Linked DNA regions of Arabidopsis thaliana. The protein of the gene in region 1 purifies or fractionates together with the protein of each later gene. This does not show direct contact. Each region holds a gene or a part of one and is shown on either strand. Other genes may lie near its edges. The genes, in order: AT3G13990 and AT3G07660.

Region 1 (11,919 bases):
AACTTTCATCTTTATTCTATACTCAAGTTTTTTTTTTTTTCAAACAACAATAACATAGCATTATTTGAATGAAATATTTTATTAAAAAACAAAAAAGTTTCTAATTCAAAAATTTAACTCAGTTATGATGATTACATTATGTTAACATTCTATACTGTCTTTTCAGGTTTGATCTCTTACATTTACAGCTTCATTTTAATTTTGAATCATTGAGATGATGAACGTATGTCTACAATTCTTTTGAACAATTGTATATTGAAGAAAAAAAACATGTCTTAATATTTAATTAAACGCAATATCAAATTCTCCGAAGTAAGTTTCAAATTAAATATTCTTACGCACACCATGGGACAAAATTAGTATAATTAGTCTCCACATGTAATGATATGTAAAGCTAATTGCTTATACGGTTTAGCTAACGGAAAGCGCTTTTGATACACAAAGAAGGAATATAAATACTAATGACTTTTTAGCCGCAAGATCTTTGGAAAATTATATAGTTTCGTTATCTCATATTTTTATTTTAATGGTGTTCTTAAATCTTAAGAGAAATTCCAATAATAGAATGATGCTAATAATGCATAAGCATGCGGTGCCTAGTTATATTGTTTTTTTTTTTTTGAGTGGTGTCGTTTGTGTAATATAGACAGGAGATCTAAAGTATTTTAGTAAATTTAAAATGTAAATCTCCCTTGCCAAATTAAATTTGGGTTTGAGATTTATGTCTGAATAATACAATGTTTAATACTTTAATTAGAGAATGTGTGCCAGGAAGAAGAATTCATGTTAAAAAGATGATGGCGCTCATTTGCAAAATGATTACTCCCGTGGCCTAAGGGAAACTCCATTTCTTTTTACTATAGTACATATGTTCATGAATCAATTGAAAAACAATTGAAACGAGTTATTTTTGTAAAGTAACTAGTTTTTTCTATAAAAAAAAGGAATATGGGAAATTCGACTATTGAATGCACACAACACAGGCATGTTATTTTTAATGAACGCCCCTTCGATTCCACGAAACTTCACATTCGTGGAGCTCTTCATTAAACGGACCCATCTTCTACAATTAATATCGATCCTCTGTGTGTGTGGAACCGTGAATGGGTATATATATATATTTGGAACCTTATATCAAAATGATTTAAATGAAAAGTGCGTTATAGTTCAAGACTTCAAGTAATGTTAAGTCTTAATAATTACTACATTTCATTGGGTAAATTTTACATGTTGTATAAAAATCGTCCATGTCAATCTTACAATCTCTCAAGTTTTGTAAATATATCGCATATCATATATGCTGTTGCGCAACAAAAAACAAATGGTTTTTTTTTTATATACATATGATATCATCTTATAACGCACACCATAGGCAGAAACAAAGAGATAAATAAAGAGAAAAGATCAAAAGAGCTACTATGTACAAATGAACAGAAGTTGCAGGGGATTCCACGCATGTGTGGATATGATAAACAAAAGAAAGACAAAAGATTCCGATCACATCATAATTGAGTTGGTGCATGCAATAGCAAAAGCAGATTCCATTTCAATCAAATAGCTAAAGAGCACACTCGTCCAAACTCTTTATGAGAAACGTTTGATTTTAATATTTTCCCTCTAACAGCCCAACAAACAAGAATATATACTTACTATTATGATACCATACAACAATGTTGTTGGTGTATATATCAGTCAGTGTATGGATATCTATAAATCACTCCATTATCTCTGATTTGACATGTCAGGTTCACAGTGACATACAACGTTTCAAACTTTTCATCGTTCATAGAAAACAATTTCCTACTATAAAAATTACGTGTCGAATTTACGCAAAATTTAGATGATTTGTAGGGAGAAATTCAAATCTTTATGATTCAATATTAACAAACCAGCCTTGATTTAACAGAAGTAGTAAGGAGTTAGGGGTCATGCTTGTAAATCTCTAAAACCGATCATGGGACCTTTTGACTTATTGAGGATAAGTAAACATAATTGATTTTCAATTAAATTTTGCTAATTCTTCTTATTTTCTTATAATCTTTCTACGAGATATATAGAATAGGGTCAAAAAGAGCTAACATTTCACATCATTATCCCTCTAACATGCGGGTTATCTTAAGTTATGAAGTATGAACCCTAAGCCTCTACTCTACTCTAGCTATAGTCTCAATCAAAAATTACTTTTTTAATTACAAAATCTCCTCAATCATTTTCAGTACCATTTTAAATCACAAAGAACAAATTTATAGAATTTTCAGAGAATCTCAAGCCAATCCTTACTTGTGCGGTAGGTGTTATCAATAGTGAAATTACGTTTAATAAAACCTAGACCGGTCAAAATGGGACAAATTAATAGAGTATTAGTGACTCAACATCATGGAGTCTCAAGAGATTCGTAGAGAGTAATCATTTCTCAATAAGGTAGGACTTAGGAGGCCTATTAAATCAGAGAAGGAATCAAAGTCCGTACCAATTAGGCTCTAAGTAAACTCTAGTTGGCTCCTTGATTAAGACCCACCTCCCCAAACTAAGTATATTTACTTTTCTAAATATGTCAACAAAACGATCAATTAGATTCTTTTGTTATGATGACACAGTGTGCTATGACACCTAAAAACTAAAGTAATCAAGGAGATAATCAAAACCTATAGGCCTGAGCTTCAACTAGTTCTCCGATTAAGAATATTTGTAATCTATTCTAAAGGCTAGAGGAAAGTTAGGTCAAGCTCAACAACTAATGATTCTCTATCAAGAATTTAATAAGGAATATGAGGAAATGGAGAGAGAAGACACATAACTCAAAGAAGAACATTGAACAGCTAAACAAAACACACAATTCTCTTTAATACTTGTAGAACATTGACAATGGGAAACACTAGCACCAAGCAACAATGTTTCACTCACAGGGTTCCACACTTAAAAACCTTCACATGCATTGTAGGGTTCTTGAAGTCGACCGAAACTATAATAGCAGTAAATGATTAAGAAGCACGGACAGGACTTTACCTTGACAATTTGACGCCATGGGAGAATAACACCATACCTGCAGCTGTAAATAATGAGGGGCTATGGAAGCAGACAAAGCATTTATAGACAAATTGTTGAGAGCTGGGAACATTTTATGCATTGAATAAATAAAGATTAATTAAAACAGAGTTTGGCGTTTCATAAGGAGAATCAAAATATTTGCTTTTGGCTATTATATAATCCATTAGACAAGAAGACAAAGGTTAGATTTTCTTCAGAAGTTTGATGGCCAATTCGGATGACCAAGTTGTGATTGCTGATAGGTACCAATTTGAGACGGAGGAGGAGAGGGAACGACACCGACTCCAACATTACCACTGAGGCCAGGTCCCATGTGGTGCGGATTCGCCATCGTACCAGGCTGTGACGGGTGGAAGAGACCCTGGAACTGCATGTGAGATGATTGCGCAGTTGGGTTGAACGATTGGTGTGCTGTATGGGATGATAAATAAGCACCATGAGGCGATTGTCCAGCTACGTTGTAATATGGAGACTGAAGGCTTGAAAGATCTCTTGGATTTTGCATCCATATCTCAGAAGTCTCAGCCTGTAGTGTTAGATAAGGAGACATGAATCAGAATAAAAAATAATTGGTAAAAACATAAAGTTCGGGCACAACTACCATACTTATCAATTATCATTACCTGAGGATTTGGAACGTAAATATTTCCATGTTTATTTATCATGCGAGATGGATCTTCAAGTCCCGTAGCGTTTCCAACTACATTGGGAGGATTAGTTGGATACCCATTAGGATTGTTGTAAGTCCCAAAACCCGCAGGTCCACCAGTTGGAACTGGTTTATATTGCTGATGGATTCCATACTTGACACCATTTGAACCGAGATGAGAACCGCCTCCAGGCATCAGCACATAGCTATTGCCATTTGAAGGGTGTGCATATGCTGCTGGGTTACCTGAGTAGCCTGGCATGGGCATTTGGGGAACATAGACTGGGGAAAGGAATTGACGATAAGGCATGAGATTGGGAAAATGCGAAACATGGACCTGCGGATACATCTGTTGCATTGATGCCTGCTGTTGTTGCTGTAACATGGGAATAGTGGATGGTGGGGCATTATTTAACATGTGAGCACTTAATCCCTGCTGCATTATCAAAAGGATACTTGATCAGTTTTTCCTAGTTAATAAAACAAAAAAGATAACTATGACACATGCACAAACCAACTGCTCAAACAGGAGCTAACTAGACTCTTACGCATCAACTCATGCTGGCAAACTAGTAACAACTAACAACAGAAACATAAATTACCTCGTGTGGAGATGGTAATCCTTGAACTCGTACAGTTTCATCCATTGCAGGACTAAAGTACGGAAATTCATAACTACCATGATTGTCATAAGCCTGCTGGAAAGGAAGAGCATGTCATTTTTGAATGAATTTATCTTTCCTTGATTTTTAAGAGTTAAAATTGCAAGAACCCTTACAGAAAATTTTTGCAACTCCGGAGGATCTTGCTGCTGTTCAAACTCCAAAGGAGTATAAGGTGGACCATTCCTATTGAGTAATTCAATCCCCGAGTACGCATCCAAATTGTCAGATCTATGAGTTTCTTTCTGTTCGGGTAACTGTGGCTCAGATACTGCCGAGACGGGTGAGTCAGATCTAGAAACTCTGACATGATCATCAATAGTGATAGGCAGAACGCCCGGACCATCTGCTGAAGCCTCAGGACAAGTAACTGGCGAACTGTCAACAATATCACCAAGTTAATTGGGGAAGATGCATGTGATCTCAAACTATATTCAAATGTACAAAAAAAAACCCACCAACTGTCAGAACTTACCTACGATCAGATTCTCTAACTTCTTCTGAAGAGTGTGATTCTTCGAAAGCAGATTCTGAATTCCTTGAGGAATTAAACTCTTGAACAAAGCTACCAAAAGTTAGCTGACAGCGGTCAGTCTCCGGGACACGAATATGATCTGCGATGATGACATTCTGACTTTCACTTATATGAACATGTGAAAGCTTATTCTGCAACTTGACGGCTTCTGTTTCCACATTTATGGAATTATCAGCAGGACGACGAGCTTGAGACTTTGTAGGTGTTCCAATTACTCCAGGGTTATGTCCAACAGGTTTCTGATTAGATTTAGGCTTCCACTCCTTGTTCTGTGAGGCTCCTGCAATAAGTACAGGTTGATCAAGAATATCAGAAGTCATGACAGGAAATGGCTTCTCACCAGGAATTCCCAATAGATTGAAAGAAGGGATTATATTACTCAAAGCAGAAGCTACACAGAAAATAAAGTGTCGCCTAGCAGAAATCAAATAAGAAATTGCACAACATCCATTCGGTTAATAAATATTTGCATATAAGTTACCCTTTGTATGGCCACCAACTTGTTGTGTTCTAGCATATTGGCTTCCTCTATTCCCACGCTGTCTGTTCAAATATGACCTATTCTTTTCCACTCCACTGGGCATAACAGACTCACGTGCAGTAGTTCGACTGTGATCAATCTTTGAAGTTGGGGAAGATGGTCGATGTGCATTTGGAGGTCCATTTTTTCTAATAGAGGACCCTGAAAAAGAGGGCACAGATGGATCTTTACCAACATTTTCAGAAGGTTTTCCACCTAAACCTCCACCCCTTACTTCACGTTTAATAGCTCCCACGGGTGATGATCTAGAAACAGGAGAAGGTACATGAACTGGATCTTTGGAAGACGAATATACACCAAGAACTGAATTGGTTGATGGCAAAGTAACTCCACCGAGTTCTTTATTGACAGGACAATGCAAAGGACGAATTTCAGCCTGTCTGAGCCTGGCATCTGCTGGAGCATTACACTCGTCAGTTGAATCTTGAGCCCCAGAAGAGTTACGATTGCCCAAACCACCTCTTGAGCTGGCAAACAGTTAAAATAGAGCGAAAATTTTATTTTCTTATTTAAATTCAGCATAGTTTTCTTGAAATTATGAGACAAGAAGTCCTTGTTGGGCTAGCAAAGGAATGCCTACCAAGTGAACATACACACTCCTATCTCCGTCTACCAAAACCCAATGGCAGTATGGCACAAAACTAATCTATGCTTCTTATTGTCTTAAAGAGTTCATTGACAAAAAAAAAAAAAAAAAAAAAGAGTCCTACTTTACTATTTTTTGGAAAAGTACAGCTAAAGCAAATTAACTCCCTTAAAATATTTTTACAAGAGTAACAAATCATTCTATTTCACATGTATAAAAGAAGGCAAGTTAGTGATAAAAATGCTAGAATAAGAACAATAGGATAAATTACAACTGATGATACATACCCCAATTTGTTCACAGTGGCAACCACTTTGTTAATATTTGATCCAGAGGACTGGGCAGAAGAATGCTTCAACTCTTCATCAACATTTGGATTAGACCTGTTGTCCCTAACAACGCGAAACTCTTTGTTGGATCCTGCACTAACATGAAACGAACAAATTACAAACAGACAGAAAAACATTTCTAGGTGAATATGGTCAATACATTACATAAAACTTGAAGGCCTCACGCCAATGGCCAATAACAAAGATTAAAAAAAAAAAACAAATCAACGCAAAACAATTTCTTCTACGTTTCCTTTGCTTGCCTGCATATATTTTTCTGGATTTAACCAAGTTCATTTGATACTGCCGTTATATAGATTATGTTTACGAACCATTCAAAAGACAGCTTAAAACAAATTAAAGATTTTTAGTACAACTGTACAAGCATGCGAAAGAAACTGGCAAGTATATCATCATCAAATTGATTTACCAGTAGCAGGATTTCTAGGAGATGCATTTCGTTGAGCAGCGTTCCTGGGGAAGAAATTCCTACTGTAGCCTCCTCTCCGAACATTATGTTCAGGCTGTGTACGAACTTTCACTTCACTGGTAACATTTTCAAGAGGTTTCTTTATGTTGGCAGGCTCAACAAATACTGTATCCTGAAACCAAAGGAACGCCCTAAAAATCAGAGGTTATACAAGAGGTGTCTTGATGATCTCTACAAATTCATCAAACTATTTGAATGGCTAGAAAAGTTGAAATTTTTTTTGACGATCAATTAAATTAGAAGGCACACAAAATACTAAACAAAACAAAAAAAAAATATAGCTTGCCACAGCAGACATCCGATGAGATATAATAGTCACACAAGCACAACTAACATTATGAAAAATCTAGTCACCTTCTTCAAATGCAGTTTCGAAAAGACTAAGGAGAGTCAAACAAAAAAACTACAATGTGGTTGCATTGGCAAAAATGTTAAAAAGGAGAAGAACTGGGAACAAGATACCATAACAGTTATATGTAACCTCACCTCTTTTTTCCTGTCTCTTTTTCTCTTCACCTCGTGAAATGGATCTGAACAAAACAAAAGCTTTTTAGCGAACCAAAACTATGATGGCAACAATAACACACATATTAGTCACCCAACGAAACGAGAGCCAAGAAAAGAAGACCAATAATATTTCAAGTATATAGTAATTGAAGTATTCTGAAGAGAATTGACAAATTATCGAAATGAAAACAAGAGTTATCCATCTATCGAATTATCAACAGAACTCCATCAAACGAAATTTGCATAACCTATCTACAGCATTCTACATACGCCTCAAACAAGATGTTGTAGCATTCATCGTGATCAAGATAATGCGGACCAGAGAACAAACAGTAAAACCCTAACTTCCGTCAAACTAGGAAAGCAGAAAAAGAGATGAAGAGAGAAGAAACCTTGATGAATCAGCTTCTCCACAGCCTCGTTAGCATCCATGTTAGCTTCTTTTAAGGCAGTGTAAATATCAGCATCGGAGTGACTATCCACAACTTCCTTAATCGATTGAATCATCTTTTTCGCTTCATCATCGAGTCCTACCCCACGATTACCGCTAGTTCTGGACCCAGTCACCATTACGGATCAAAGACGTATCGAATAAACCGAAACACACAAAAAACAAAGAAATTCAAGGATCGAGTAGCGAAACCAAGTGAGATCAGCGTAATCAAGGTAGATGCTAATGATTCGACTCTTAAACCCTAAAATCGGATAGAGCAACTACTAGGGTTTCGAGTACAGAGAAGAGGGAACGGCTTTAAGAGAACAAAAAAAAAAAAGAAGTTAGGATTTATTCTCACGCGTCGAAAAAATTGGTTCCAAATTCACTAATTGGATAAACCTAATTGACTATTTTACCCTTAATATAACTCAATAGAAAGATTAGTCAAAGGAGAAGTGAGAAATGGAAATTTCTAAGGAGATACAAGTTAGCTGGCAATTTAACTGGTTTTTACTTTATACATTTCTTATTCAGAACATTTAAGTACATGCCATAATTATTAGCACCAATCATGGTCAATATAATTAGAGAAAAAGTAATAAAGTGCACAAAGTGTAATTTTCAAATCCAATAATATGAATTTTCTTAGTATTAAACTATATACAGTACATTACCTTAAGAAAATAACACCAAGAAAATCCAGTAAAACTAATACCTCCTCTTTATAGATAGATGTAGATGAGAAAGAAGAGAAAGAGATGTACTAACAACCACCAACTAAAAAGCACATTCATTATCTGAATCCCAAGTTATTTCCATCACTCTGTAGCTTTTTTCCAAGTAAAACATATAAAAGAAAAGTGTTTTGTTTTGGTGTGTGTCAGATTCTTCTCTAGAGAGCCTTCGACCGTCATCGGTCATCACAAGTATTGTTGTTGTATCCGAGCTCTGTTCTGCTCCCACCACAATCTTGCATTCGTTTCCCCAAACTTCTCTCGGCTACAACCACAAAGACAATGTTGTTAAAGTGCTTGCTTTTGAAAGGGTTTTACTAAGGAACAGAGAAAGTAATGTATCTTTACCTGAAGCGAACACGCCTAAGCTCGCGAGTCCCATCTGGTAAAGCTCTGATTGTGATGTAAACACCTGCTTCGTCCTGTTCCACCCATTCTGTTTCAATGTCACTTGCATTACTTACAGATAGCTCCTCCCCTGAATGATCTGCTTCTTCTTCTTCCCTTGAGAAGCTACTTCTTGCAGACTCATCAACAGATGATGTCTCGGTTTTTGTCCCACTTATGCTAGAGAGTTTTGGTGTTGTAGCAAGACCAGATGAATCATGGTGTCGACTTTGTGTTTGGGTTGTTGGTTGGTGAGCGAGTGAGCCAGAAGAAGCGTAGCCTTTTCCTCGAGAGCATTCTTTGTTCAGAGGTGGAGTTGCAGGACCATTCTTGGTAGACTGAATTCGCGAGCTCTGGTATACCAAATTAAAACTAGTTAGACCTCAAAGTATCAAAGACAGGTTTTGATGAGTAGATTCATGTGTTCAGAAGTGAAGAGGGTGCATATACCCCATCTTCAGATCTAGGAGGAGTTGGAAGTGGGACGCTCTGCTGATTGAACTGCTGTACATTGTATAATTCCATGACCTTGTCGAAATTCTCCGCCCACCACTTTTGAGCTTGCCATTTATCGAACATTTCACGGCTGCAAGTAATACAAATTTGAAGAAATCAACAAATTAGGAGCTGACTTAACCATATACAATACAGAACCAAAGAGCTACCAGGTTAACAGTCTTAGGTTCACAAAACTCAAGGGATCTGCAGTAAATTGTCAAAACTAGAATCTAGAAATATCAATCCTAGGGAGCTGAAGTGTTCCTCTTGCCATGAAGAAAGTTAGTTAGATCATCTTGCTCTCATTATATGTTCCACATACAAAAAGAACTTTACGAAATTCACAAACACTTCCCCACACAATTGTCCTTGGGGAATTCATTTAAGTTCTCCATCGGATTCAACTACCGAAATATAACCCACATCTCAAAGACCTTTCTTGGCAAAAAGGATGTACAAGTTCTCATAATTATAAGAAATGGTTTGGGACCACTTCAATCGATTCAAGAAAAATGAAAGCAGCAACAGTTTCCAACACAGAAATCTCACATAATAATATCCTAAATATCAACTGTACTCTCACATTGCTTGTCTCCAAGAACCACACATCTCTACTTCCAAAATCAAATTAAACAATTTCAAAACAGTATGGATTAGTTCATTTGAGTATCATCTTCAATATTCCTGATTGGAAACATATTGTACCATCTTGATTAAGTCCAATATCCAAACTTTTACTTAGTGTAAATCCTACAAAACAGTTAAAAATTACCTGAACCGAATCCGCTTCATATCATTCCCTCCCTCAGGCAATGATACAAATGTGATGAGGACACCAGGCTCCACTTGAGCAACCCATTCCTTGAGCTCATCTTCTTCCTCCATGAACACTGTAGACTCTGTCCTACCACTCATGGATTCAGGTGTTCCTTCTCCACTCAAAAAACCTTTCAACCTTGACTCCATTTCCTTCCCCAAAATCTTCGGTGTTGAGCTTCCACTCCCCGCTCTCTTGTACGCATAACGAAACCTCCCAGAATTCGAAGCAACATCCGAATCAGCGTAGCTTCGGTTCTTATTCTGATTAGACGACCCAGAACACGGTTTGCAGCTTTTGTAAGCACCTGATGCTTTTACTGCCATGTCTTTAATCTGAAGATTCACATACAAGAATCACATGTTATTCACAAAATTAAATACACAGTGAAAAACATTCTGAAAGTCACGGACTTAAATTGATTTGTTCTTAGCTTCCAAACAGAAACCAACAAGAGCAAAAAATGGTCCTTTTCTCATTTGTGTTTTTTTTTCGTGAAAGTGACACAGAGGAAGAATGTTTATCTCTACCTGTGACGTCAGGGACTTAATCTGCTTAGACCTGGGTGTTTCAATAACTCTGTCTTCTTCTTCTTCATCCTCTTCTTGTTTCTTAGATCCACCATTGTTGGTGTTTAGCTGCTTCGTACAAGCTATGCATGTCAGCATCTCTATCACTCACTAAAGAGTTTCAATTTCGACCTGAGAATTTAGAAGAATGAAACCCAAGTCACTTCCTCCACCAAAAATAATCAAATCTAAGAAATGAGAACCCAAAAAGGCTCATAATTTGTACCTTTTTTTGCAACAGTAGTTACGCACTTCAACTTCTACCTTCCAATATATAAACTCAACACTCACTAAAGTCGATTGCTTTTCTCTCAACCACAGAGATTCAGATGTAAAACCCCACCGGTGAAATGACGGCGAAGGGAAGGAGGAGACCGTTGCGGCAGGGGAAAATTAGGGTACCAGGATCTGTAGATCAGACCTAGAAACGACTTCGCATTAAAGACTCTTCTTTTTTTTTAAACTCTCTGGGTCGGTTTACTTGTGGCTTGAAAGCTCTTATCAGAGAGATTGAGTGAGATACACTCTTAAATCTCAACACTTTATGAAATCCAAAGCCGAATGCAGAAGCAAAATGCAAAAAAGCTACGAATTTTTGGGGAGAGATAGAGAGAGAGAAGAGCTTTGATATTTGGGCTTTGAGATCGTCGGACACTGTGAAAGTTTGCGCACAAGTGTGGTGTTGTGTTCCTCCTCCTTCCTAATTCCTATATTAAACAAAAAAGCTCTACTCTTTTCTTTTTCTTCAGAGAAAAAAAAACAGTAATGGCTATTTTCAGATTCGTCTTTAAGTTTGATACTTATGGATTATTATGACCAAAACCAAAAAAAAACAAAAACGTAACACAGTTTTTACTAACATAGATTAACCAATTGAATAGTTCTACAGCTTTATTGCTATTTTTTAATATCCGCATTTTGTCAACTTTTGATTTATTATTTATATTAAATTACTTAGTTTTGAATCGTCTTGTATTTCATTTGCTAACATAACTAGTAGTATATTCTTCAATTTTACTGCTTTGAGAGTGAAGAAATCGGACCAAGAAAATTTCAAATGTTATTCTCTTCTTTATTTCCTAGTTTTTTTTCTTTATTCTCTTTTCCCTTTTCTTGCTTTTTTTTAAAAAA
Region 2 (12,485 bases), 2.2 Mb from region 1:
TATTAATTTATTTCGATTTTCAGTAATATCCATTTGTAGGTTTTGGTCTCTGACTCTTGTTTATAATAAAAGCTCTGTATTGAGTAAAATCTCATGAAAGTAGGTTTCCTTTCCCTTTTTTATCCTTCTCCTTTGGTTATTAATCTCCTACAACCTTTTTTTAGAAATTACTACCTATATTCAGAAAGATTCCATCTATTTCTTCTTCAAGGCTTGCTTTTTTGAACCAAAAGTCTCTCTCTTTTTCATCTAATAATTTGTTTACTTTTTTGGACAGCAGAAAGTTGATTTGGTCAGAGCCAAGGAAGATGGGTTACATGTGTGACTTCTGTGGTGAACAAAGATCTATGGTGTACTGTCGATCCGATGCAGCTTGTTTGTGTCTCTCCTGTGACCGGAGTGTTCATTCCGCTAATGCATTGTCCAAACGACATTCTCGGACACTTGTCTGCGAGAGATGCAATGCTCAGCCTGCTACTGTCAGGTGTGTTGAAGAAAGGGTTTCACTCTGTCAAAACTGTGACTGGTCTGGCCACAACAACAGCAACAACAACAATTCTTCGTCTTCTTCTACTTCGCCGCAGCAGCATAAGAGGCAAACCATAAGTTGCTATTCGGGTTGCCCTTCCAGCTCAGAACTCGCTTCCATTTGGTCTTTCTGTTTGGACTTAGCTGGACAATCTATTTGTGAACAAGAACTGGGTATGATGAATATAGACGATGATGGTCCTACCGACAAGAAAACTTGTAATGAGGATAAGAAAGATGTCTTGGTTGGATCCTCTTCAATTCCTGAAACCAGTTCTGTACCACAAGGAAAATCATCTTCTGCTAAGGTAACTTTTTTTCTCAATATGTTATTACTTTTGCATCCATGGATATACATATCTATCATTTCTTTACTAAATTCAGAGTTGTTGTTTGTTTTGGTTTAAAGGATGTTGGAATGTGTGAAGATGACTTCTACGGGAACCTTGGTATGGATGAAGTTGACATGGCACTTGAGAACTATGAAGAACTCTTTGGTACCGCCTTTAACCCCTCTGAAGAGCTATTCGGGCATGGTGGAATCGATAGCCTTTTCCATAAGCACCAAACAGCTCCAGAGGTTTTTATCCATTACCCTTTCTTCTTAGATTTATCAAATTGGATGCATCTCTGTGTGATTCTAATAATGCTCTCTTGTTTTTGCTCAATCCAGGGAGGGAATTCGGTGCAGCCAGCAGGCAGTAATGATTCGTTCATGAGTTCGAAAACTGAGCCAATAATTTGCTTCGCATCGAAGCCAGCACATTCGAACATATCCTTCTCTGGAGTCACTGGAGAAAGTAGTGCTGGAGATTTCCAAGAATGTGGTGCATCATCTTCCATACAGCTCTCGGGGGAGCCACCATGGTATCCTCCAACATTACAGGATAACAATGCCTGCTCACATTCAGTAACCCGTAATAACGCAGTTATGCGTTACAAGGAGAAGAAGAAGGCTCGCAAGTAAGTAGTAGTCTGAAACTGCAAATACATGAGCATCATTGAAGTGAGTGCAGGATTTTCCTAATGTGACTCTGGCTTCTTTTTTCTGGAAACAGGTTTGATAAGAGAGTGAGGTATGCTTCCCGCAAAGCAAGAGCTGATGTGAGACGGCGTGTAAAGGGGCGATTTGTCAAAGCTGGTGAAGCTTATGATTACGACCCTCTCACCCCAACCAGAAGTTATTGAAGACTCCTTTTGAAAGGTACATAGATATATATACATGGCGAAGAATCGAACAAGAAAGGTTTTGACTTATGGGCAGTTTCAAGTGAGCAACTTGGAAAATTGTGGGTTAGTAACAAAACAAGACTACTGTAGCATGAACAGATTTCAAGACTGACTCTTGTAAGCAATCATTCATTCTTGGGATTCAATCGTTTTTTTTGGCCTCAGAAGCTTCATTCTTGACCAGAGGGATTATTCTCTGACTTTCCTTGTCCAAACTCCGGTTTCTTCTTCTTCTTCTTCAGGCGTCTCACACTGATCAGGGTTCCATGAATTTTGTTCTTCTCTTGGTAGTTAAAAAGGCAGGGAAGGAGATTTAGAGTAATTTAAACAATATGTGATTGTTGTATATGCCTTTGTATTTGTTTGTATACTCATAAATGTTTTTCTGTTTTGTACTCGGCATTCTTGTAAATTAAAGACATTATCCACATTCTTCTATAGACAAAGAAAGTTATGTGGTACCACTTAACCTAAGTCTCGTTCTGTAACAACCGACTAGTACTAGTTCAAGTTTAACGAGATTTTGGTTTGTAGTAACTTCAAGAGGTTGATCCAACAATGAGGCAATGCAAAACATCTGAACTTTATTATTTAAATGTCAGATTATAAAGGGGAGTCCATTTATGTGAGTTTAGGCGCTTTATCGCTGTTTACTTAAACTTAGCTTCTACTATGTCAATTTTGAACACTTATCAAAAGTGATTGAGATGCAAAACAGTAGTTTTCAAGATGACATATGGACCAAAAGTTTTTAACATTTATATTTGGAGTATTTCGGATTTTACAACTTAATGTGAATTTTCTTGAAGACTCATATTCACAAGCCTTAATTTTCGAATTGAGGAATAAACATTCAGAGAAAGTTGATTCGCGAGCAAGAAATTTGTCCAATTTGATTGCTGACTCGGATTTGAAAACATTGACCAAAGGCTAAGAAAAGAAGGAAGAGAGGAAGAGTCTTCAGATACAGACTCAGGTAGCAAAGTTCTTGTCTTAGCTCAGAAACTTAAAAAGAGAGCTAAAAAAGACCTCTTAAAAGCTAAGAAAGAAAAAAATTTGCTAAATCAAAAGAAAAAAAAAAAGATATAGAAAACACCAAAACACTGGTTTCATACAATACCTTTCCCTACCCTTATGATCATTCTCTCTGTAAATCTCCTTCATGCTTAAGCCTTCAACTTCATAGCTTCATCTCTTTGGTAATTTGTTAGATGGCACACACACACACACGCAAGTCAACAAAAACCCGCACCCATATATCTTTCCTGATTTCTCTGGAATTTGAAACTTGTTGAATCTTCAAAATCTTTTTCTCCTTTATACTTCCTGTTTCAGTAATTACTTGGCCAATTCATCTGTGTTTGCTGAGGCTGTTGGAAAACGTTAGGCGCAGGTGCAACCATTTCAGCTCCAGCCACACCTTGAGACTGTTGTAAAAGCGGATGATGGACTCCTGTTGCTGTTACTGCTTGTCCCGGATGGTACATACCTGGGAATGCGACGTGACCAGCTTGTGCTGGAGCATAAGTCACGTGTTGCCCATGGTGCTGTAAACCATAGAAAGAGCTTGGCACATCTCGTCCTGGTCCAGTAATCCATACAGGTAATGCTTCACTCTGCAGAGACCCCACAATTATAAATTAATCAGGAAAGGGAACTAAACTTTCAACTGAGTTGGTTTTGGGAGGGAGAGGGAATATGTACCTGTTGCCCTGTTGTACTGTAGCCGTTGTTTTCTTTCAACTGCAATGAGTTGAGATCCTCATTGGAAGTCGAATTCCCGGCCGATGCAGCAGAGGTGGGATTATATCCTGCTGGGAAAGACCCATATGTTGGTCCATACCCACCAGTAATACCGACATGAGTCATGTTTCCTGTATTAGTCCCAGGCTTGTAATGAGGGAGTGTGTATTTGCCTCCTGTTGCAGTTCCAGGAGGTGGAGGATATACACCGCTTGCCTGAGGTTGCTGAGCATATGCACCATTGCTTAAGTATTGGTGCATTGTAGGGGGAGGTAAATAGAATGGGGAGAAGTATCCATATGGCACGTAGTTTGGTGGATAATGCGACATATGTAAGCCCGGAGGGCGGAAAACAGGAACAGGCTGCTGCGTGACAGGTATAGAGCTCTGCATTAGTCCAGCAGCTTGAGTTACCAGTGGTGGTGGACTAGCAGTAGACAGGACCAAGTTATTTCCACCCTACAAATCAACATGTTCAAGCATTTCAGACCAGAAAAGTAATAATAACAGCTATATTTTTATCTTTCAAACGTGTTATAGGGCTTCTGAACATATAAATATGCAGTCCAATTAGAAACCATAGGTTTACTTCAATTTTATCAAGAAGAAAAAATGAGACTTAGATCCAAGTAGCTGACATGAAAATTTGACTATTTGATTGATGATGCTACTGTTGGAAGATTGAATTAAACGAAAAAGTCTCAAAACCATCTTAAATTAGATCAAAATCGTGAAGGTGTGAATTATAAAATAAAATAAAAGGTTAACCCCCAAAAACTACACTAACCTCTTGCATGGTTTGAGATGAATGCGGAGGCAATACTGTAATCCCATTAAATTTGGAGGCAACCCCTGGGGAAACGAAGGGAGAAACACGGCCATCACTGTCAGGACCTGAGCGGTAGAACTGAGCATAGTAGCTCGCCGTATCAAAAGGTTGTTGGCCCTTCAAACAACAAAAGTATAGTTCATTACGAAGACATATTAGAGGTGACAATGCCTAAAAATTATATAATGAGCAAAATGTTACTGATCAATGAAGAGTATAAGCTAAGTATAATTAATGGTTTAAGTAGATCAACCATTCGAAAACTTGACAACTTAATGTAATTAAGGGCATACCATAAAACTGGGAAGACGAAGGGCATCACGTGCTTGAGGGTCAGAAGTCTCAAATTGTGGATGCTGGTTCCCAGGAGCTGGAGGAACAATCCCAATAATATTACTTGGAACCTGGTCAAACGAGTTTTGATTGCTTTCGGACTCCAACATATTCTCCTGCTTGGTGACATCATACTCTGGAGCTGTATTTGTTGCAGTATTACCTTCACCAGCCATATTATCTGGAACTTGTGAAGGTGACTCGGAGTAAACATTACCGTCCTCTTCTTTTTCAATCGAATGGACAGTTGGGTGCCTGAATGCATAAAAAAAGTTTCGCTTAGGGACTGGTCATATAAATATAGTTATATTTCAAGACATAAAGTTCAATAACTAGAAGTGAAAAAATTTGGGTTTCGTGTTCGGATAAGTGTTCATAATGTAAAGGTTATCATGACTTCCAGAAAATCAGTGACTGCACAAAATGTTTTACTTTCTGTTTGGAACTTAAGAGCCAAGCAGGACAAAGAGTTGTTTCTATGAACAAAACCCACTTAACTATTGACACTATCAGTTCAACTGACACCCTACACAGCATGACAAAAAGATATATATTTTGTTGACCTAGAACCTGATATACACCGTAGTGCTTTGGAAGTTTCGGCTATGCTACTAAGCAAAACAAGCGACTACACTAGGAAATTTCTCTTACCTATTTCCATCAGTAATCTATTATTCACAACTTCTTTCTAGCTCATTTCACTCTAAATTTAGAGTATTTATTCGCATAACAACATCAACAATAATTGACAAAGTAGAGAAAGGTAGATACCTAAATTCCTCCTCTGCAAAACTTTCTTCAACTTCCTGCGAATTATGAGAAAGAGGTGCAGATCTCTTTTCACTCTGAGGAAAGGCTACTGTGCTAGACGTAATAGAAAAGTCAGCATCAAAGCTTCCAAAGCTTAACTTGGTTCGTTCAGCCTCTGGAACAAGAATATGGTTTGGAATAATAACATGCTGACGTTGAATCTGCAAGTCTTCAAGCTGTCTCTGCAATCTGGATGTGGCTTCTGCCGAAGGGGTAGCATCTTCAACTGATTTGTCACTGGCTTCAGTAGGAACTGCAAGAGTTTCACCTGTAGATGATGCACCAGAGCCCTGGGTAGTGTTATGGTTCACTACTGGCTTCGGTTTCCATTCCTTAATGGAACCAGCACCTAGAAACAAGTATCATTGACATAAAGATGTCAGAAGATTCCAGTCTTGTGCAAATAAAAAAACAAAAGAAATACAATAATGAAGAACTGCAGCAGACAAAAAGTGTTTCCTGTAAAAGCAAGTCCCGCTGTATGCACATTTTATCATCTGGAATATGTACTATATGTTTCTTATCACAGATAGTAGAAATCCAGTACAGCAAAAATAAATGTATCACTGTTACCTCTTTGAGGACCGACAGTCTGATGTGACCGATTACTGTAGTTAGAAGAAGGCCGACTACCCGTGCTGTTGCTATGAGATGAAGCAGGCCTTGAACCATAAGTATCATTCACGGCAGTCTTCCCAACCCCACGGGATCTGGTATGGGACTTGCTTTCTCCAATGTGCTGTTCAGGTGCTGTTTGCTCTGATTTGGGATTTGAAGATGTGAATCGAACTTCAGAAGAGGATGGACGAGGGAGTGGCAGAGAATCAACTGCCTTCTGCTCAGTATGCACAACCCTAGAGCCAACTGCTACACGATTTTTGCTTAATTCCACAGAAGACGGTGCACCATCAATGTTGTTTGAGGGCACTGAAGATCGGCCAGCTTTAAGTTGACCTGAACCAGCTGGTAGGTTGGAAGACTGGCGAACATCAGAGCTTCCTGATTTCGGACCAACAGTACTTTTATCCATCACAGCAGAATGGCTGTAAACCAAAAAACACAAAACAAAAATCATGAGAAGGATCATCTATAGAGTATATCCATGCTGGAAAAAGGCCCACCCATCTTTAACTGAGGGTGTTATACATCCACCTATAAGTCACATAGAATCAAGGAGAATGATACATAAAAGGAATTAGTACTATAGGATGACAATCACCTTGAGACCAGAGCTATATCTTTCGTTTTTATCTCTTGAGAGGTTGAAGTTGATGGATCAATAACCTGCTTTGGACCGTTTTCTTTTTTGAAAGAATTCTTTGCACCAGCAACATCTGATCAGAAGTAAACATTCACCACACAGTTCATCAATTACAGAAAAATTAAAAAGCAACATGTTACAGACTGCCGCTAGGGAACTTTCTCTTTCACATTCTTTCGCTAAACATACTAAAAGCCAATCATGAACACAACTAGTATGTCCTAGGAGGAAAATCAGGAAAGAATCAATACTGAGTAAATATAACAAAAAGTATTGTGACCGCAAGTAACCACCTTCCAGAGACAACTAATGTGGCATATTAAGAGATGCGAGTTCATATGATTGTAAAACATTGAGTTCATCAGATTGTTATTTACCATTTGATGCATGACGAGAAGAGAAATTCATCCGACCACCCCTGCTACCACGGCCCCCTCCACCAGATCTCCATTGTGATTCAGCAGAATCCTTGTTGTTGATGTTCTGTACCATTTCAATAACATTGTCAATACCCATGTCCCAAATATATGCGGTTTAATAGACATCCTTTACACAGAAACCCATGAAGAGACCAAAAGAACTGCAAAAACCCCATACCTCTTTCCTCTTATCACGCTTTTTTTTAACCTCATGGAATGGATCTGCAGAGTCATAAACAATTTTTTGCATTAGCACATAAGATTGTATAGAAAAACACAACAAAAAAAAACTTAAAACATATCCTAGCAACCATCTCTAAATTACATGGTACACAAGCAGGTTACATGAAGCACTCGAAAAGCCTGATGCAATACCACATCTCCAAAGAATCCTATTTTCATAACAATTTGTTTTGGTAAGATGATGAAAATGTGGATTTCTAAGCACTAGATTCATCTACAACGCAGCAGTCTTTGTTTAGAACTCATACCTAGCAAAAGTATTATTCCTAGACAAACCACTCAGAAAAATTCTAGTTAGAAGCTAATTCTCTTTGTTTCACACATCACTAGTGTAAGTAATTGATTCCCGTATATTCCAAATCAATTCGTGAACCTTTTTTTGTGAAAAGGAGGTTACAACACAATATCACATAAACAACTAGAGACAGCTTAAAACTTAATAGGCGAAGAAACCGATGATAGTGAATTCAGATAAAATCTGAAAAAAAAAAATCAAAGAGCAGAGAAATCAGATGCTAAAACCTAAGTTACAGGAGAAAACCCCAAATCGAAAAATACAATCTCGATCCAATCAAAGAAGAGAAATTAGGTAAAGAAAAAAGTGCAGAGAAGGTCGAGATTATACCCTGAAGAAGTAAGCGTTGAGCGGTCTCATCAGGATCCATGTTACATTCATGAAGCATTGCGATAATCTCATCCTCGCTATAGTTCCCAGCAGTGGTCTCCTTAATGTTCTGAATCATCTTCCGAGTAGTAGCCGAAATCGAAACCCTAGCGCCACTGCCGACCATCCTCTCTTCTATCAAACGTAAAATCTCGCTTCTGATATTTTAACAGGAATCGAAATCTGGACCTAGACCAAAAGAGGTCTGAGTACCTATATATGTATACGAAGAGGCGAGTGATAAATCAGTACGAGAGGATGGGATTTGAAACTAGTTTGGGTCGACGAAGGAGAAGAAGAAAGAAGAAGGAACAAGAAAAAAAAAAAAAAAAGAGGAAGGGGGCGAGAGAAAGGAATGAGCAAAATAATACGCACTGTGATTTTGGAAGCGTAGGGCTCTCTTTTCTTTTTTCAATTTTGTTTTGCATTCCTTTGTAGCTTTTTAATATTGAGTTTTTTTGTTTGTTTTAATCTGAATCTTTGGTAAATAATGATAACCAAATTGTTGTCACAATCTTTTTTTGTCCACAAATATATTTAAATTAGGATTTAGGATATCTTCTGAATATTTACACTACATAATAATGACAAACATAAAACATAGTATTTAAGAAAATAAGAAGAAGATAAGTTTTGATTGTAACTTGATCATATTAAATCTCAACTATCTCAAACGATGTTACCCATATCATTATGAGATGAGCGATTTAATGATTAGCATATTATTATTTATATTTTTACATCTCAGTAACGTATTATTGTTTTCTATGTAAATATTTAAATTATCAAATAATTATAATACGTTATTATTATCCCCACCATGATAATTACATATATATTTAATTTACTGAATAAGTTTATTTTTTTTGTCTTTGGTAATTTCTTTTACAATACCAAATTAAAATATTTTAAAAATTGGATTTCAAAAACATAATGAGTTATATGGTTGTCCAAATATTTACCAGGTCCAGTACGCTTTTAGCATTATTAATAGCAATTAGCAACTCTAGGGATTGTCATTTACATAAACAAATCTTCAATTTTTTCATTAATTTTCCTGTGTTTTGGGTCCCTATTGCTTCTAAATTCTAATAAACCGTCCAGATATTGCTGTTATGGAAACAATTTTTCAATAAATCTCATCAACTGATTCTATCAAAATCTAATCACTAGGCTTTTTCCCATTAGCATTAGCGCATAACAAAGTTTTGAATATTAATATCATTATCCATAGGCAGCTTAGATTTTTTTTCCTTAGCATCAAATTAAACTCAAAACCGAACCAAACCGTAAATCCACAAACTAATTTTGGTTCGAATTTAAAAACATTATCTTTTAATTTTGTCATGCCCCCTCTGCTAAGTGCAACCATTCGTCTTCTCGCTTCATCGTTTTCTCTTTTCCGATGGCAAAAGCTTGCCTCTTGCAGTCTACTCTACTCCCAGCTTACTCTCCACTTCACAAACTTCGTAATCAAAACATCACCCTCTCTTTCTCACCGCTTCCGCTGTCCCGATGCCGTCCCGGAATCCACTGCTCAGTTTCGGCCGGTGAGACTACAATACAATCCATGGAGGAAGCTCCGAAGATATCATGGGGATGCGAGATTGATTCACTTGAGAACGCTACTTCTCTTCAGAACTGGCTCTCTGATTCAGGTCTCCCTCCGCAGAAAATGGCTATTGATAGAGTCGACATCGGTGAGCGAGGCCTCGTCGCTTCACAGAATCTCAGAAAAGGAGAGAAATTGCTCTTCGTTCCTCCTTCTCTCGTCATCAGTGCTGATTCCGTAAGTTCACACTCCTAATTTCACTCGGAATCAAAGAATCTAATCTTATATTCCTTGATCTCACTTGCAAGCAATCCCTCACCTCTTGTTCAGATCAATGCAAGGTTAAAGTATCTGGCTTTCATGAATGTGAATATCTAATATCGGAGATTGGGTTTTAGGAATGGACCAACGCAGAAGCTGGTGAAGTGATGAAACGTTATGATGTTCCAGATTGGCCTTTGCTCGCCACTTATCTTATAAGTGAAGCAAGTCTTCAGAAAAGCTCAAGATGGTTTAACTATATCTCAGCTCTTCCCCGACAACCTTACTCGCTTTTATACTGGTAAGTTTTGTACTTGTTTCTGTAGCTGAACTTTGGTCTCAGTTTCTTACTCCCTACAGCCTTTTTGTACTATTTCAGGACTCGGACAGAGCTTGATATGTACTTGGAAGCTTCTCAGATTCGAGAACGGGCAATTGAAAGAATCACCAATGTTGTTGGAACGTGAGATATTGTTCTTTCTTTCTTTCTTTCTCTCAACTGCTGGAAATCATTGATGCAGTCACTAGTACTTATTGTTTGTAGGCTAGGGGGTTGATGATTATGTCTTGCAAGACACTGCTCATGTCTTTTTCCTTTTTCTTTTCCTCAGTTATGAAGATCTAAGAAGCAGGATATTTTCCAAACACCCTCAACTTTTCCCTAAAGAGGTAACTGGTATACGCCCATTTTGCTACAGCTTACTATTTGGACATGTAATAAGATGCACTTCTGTAATTACAACTAGTGTTGGTTCTATTTTATTATCTGAGCTTAAATTTGTTTTGTCCACATGTATATGAGTGTGCTATTTCTTGGTTGCAGGTTTTCAATGATGAGACATTTAAGTGGTCTTTTGGAATCCTATTCTCACGGTTGGTAAGAACTACTGTATCATAAGCAATCATTATCTTGATAATTGATGTAAATCTAGATGTCTTGAATTTGAAACAACAGACTTGTTCTTTAATCTTAGCATGACTTTCTGCATAATATAGCTGTCTCCAACAATTTATTGTTTGAACAATGACCACTCACAACCAAAATATTGCATTATTTCGTTTCTCTTTCCTTCCGTGTGCTGCGTGCTTGTCTCTGCAATTCAGACTTAAGCTTCTCTAACACAGGTGCGGTTGCCTTCTATGGATGGAAGATTTGCCTTAGTTCCATGGGCAGATATGCTTAATCATAATTGTGAGGTACTTCTACTTATCTTTATGACCAATTAGCTCCTAGATTCTCCTAATCAGAAAGCATGATTGACTTATGGTAATCAATATTTCAAAATCTGCTTGGAAAGGTTGAGACGTTCCTGGATTATGATAAATCTTCAAAAGGAGTTGTCTTTACAACAGATCGACCATATCAACCAGGTGAGCAGGTAAATAAGATAAATTCATTCAGATAACCTGAGCGAGCATTGAAGTTTAATATAAGTCAGTGTATAACACAAAGAAGTCCCGTTTACACAGTTTGCCTTTTAGCGCTTCAGTAAGTCAGTCCAAAGTGGAACCAATGTTGTCTGAAGTCTCTGATATGTTTCAGTAACATGACATTGTGCAGGTTTTCATATCCTATGGGAATAAATCTAACGGAGAGCTATTGTTATCTTATGGGTTTGTTCCCAGAGAAGGAACCAATCCTAGTGATTCAGTAGAACTAGCATTATCACTTAGGAAAAACGATAAGTGTTACGAGGAAAAGCTGGATGCTTTAAAGAAACACGGATTATCGACGTATTCCATTCTCCACCATCCATGTTCCCCTCTCAAATTTGTAGATCTCTCTTGATTAACTTGAGTTTTGTTTTGATTGTTTGTGTTAACTTTTCTCTGGCAGACCTCAATGCTTTCCCGTAAGGATAACGGGTTGGCCAATGGAGCTAATGGCATATGCTTATCTTGTGGTGAGCCCTCCAGATATGAGAAACAACTTTGAAGAGGTTTGGCAACTCCATCTTGACCCTTTTTACCATCCAATTCTTCCCAAATTCATAATACATCTCTTATCAATTATTATCCATTTCAGATGGCGAAAGCTGCTTCAAATAAGACATCAACAAAGAATGATCTAAAATATCCTGAAATCGAGGAAGACGCATTGCAGTTCATACTGGACTCATGCGAAACAAGCATATCAAAGTACAGCCGATTTCTAAAGGTAAGTAACAAAACAGCTCATCTCTCTCTCTTTGTGGGAAAATTTTCACTCCATCTGCTTATAGTTTGCTTTGTCAATTATCTAATTGTAGGAAAGTGGATCAATGGATTTGGACATAACATCTCCAAAACAGTTGAACCGAAAAGCGTTTCTGAAACAGCTAGCTGTAGACTTGTCCACTAGTGAGCGCAGGATACTGTACCGTGCTCAATACGTAAGGAACAACTTTCTAGCCAATACGATAGATAAGAGTCTGTGGATCGATCCATGATATTGTGGAATCTGTGTTTTTTTTTTTGTTTTGTTTGGGTCAGATTCTGAGGAGGAGACTGAGAGATATCAGAAGTGGTGAGCTGAAGGCTCTACGGCTCTTCAGTGGACTTAGGAACTTCTTCAAGTGAATGTTGAATGAGGACATTTCAACAGCTTTAAGATGGATCAAAGGTAGGCCTCG

What was found.
Region 2: the proteins of AT3G13990 (region 1) and AT3G07660 fractionate together in Arabidopsis thaliana (co-fractionation; one large-scale study listed by BioGRID). This does not show direct contact.

Annotation. Positions count from the first base shown.
Region 1 is NC_003074.8:4,622,467-4,634,385, forward strand, and holds AT3G13990 (dentin sialophosphoprotein, putative (DUF1296)), read right to left. Parts: upstream 8,148-11,919; 5' UTR 7,918-8,147; coding exon 7,740-7,917; intron 7,371-7,739; coding exon 7,327-7,370; intron 6,953-7,326; coding exon 6,781-6,952; intron 6,442-6,780; coding exon 6,309-6,441; intron 5,903-6,308; coding exon 5,376-5,902; intron 5,175-5,375; coding exon 4,835-5,174; intron 4,738-4,834; coding exon 4,476-4,737; intron 4,396-4,475; coding exon 4,300-4,395; intron 4,134-4,299; coding exon 3,672-4,133; intron 3,575-3,671; coding exon 3,242-3,574; 3' UTR 2,917-3,241; downstream 1-2,916. Other genes in the region: ATBRXL2 (DZC (Disease resistance/zinc finger/chromosome condensation-like region) domain containing protein), read right to left, coding at 8,704-8,782, 8,866-9,257, 9,355-9,490, 10,175-10,554, 10,750-10,887.
Region 2 is NC_003074.8:2,442,186-2,454,670, forward strand, and holds AT3G07660 (flocculation protein (DUF1296)), read right to left. Parts: upstream 8,475-12,485; 5' UTR 8,188-8,474; coding exon 8,022-8,187; intron 7,376-8,021; coding exon 7,332-7,375; intron 7,218-7,331; coding exon 7,112-7,217; intron 6,808-7,111; coding exon 6,693-6,807; intron 6,517-6,692; coding exon 6,047-6,516; intron 5,823-6,046; coding exon 5,435-5,822; intron 4,919-5,434; coding exon 4,624-4,918; intron 4,448-4,623; coding exon 4,289-4,447; intron 3,961-4,288; coding exon 3,463-3,960; intron 3,375-3,462; coding exon 3,090-3,374; 3' UTR 2,503-3,089; downstream 1-2,502. Other genes in the region: COL9 (CONSTANS-like 9), read left to right, coding at 309-836, 938-1,108, 1,202-1,491, 1,587-1,716; AT3G07670 (Rubisco methyltransferase family protein), read left to right, coding at 9,466-9,849, 10,011-10,174, 10,253-10,336, 10,485-10,542, 10,697-10,750, 10,999-11,070, 11,172-11,252, 11,435-11,607 and 4 more.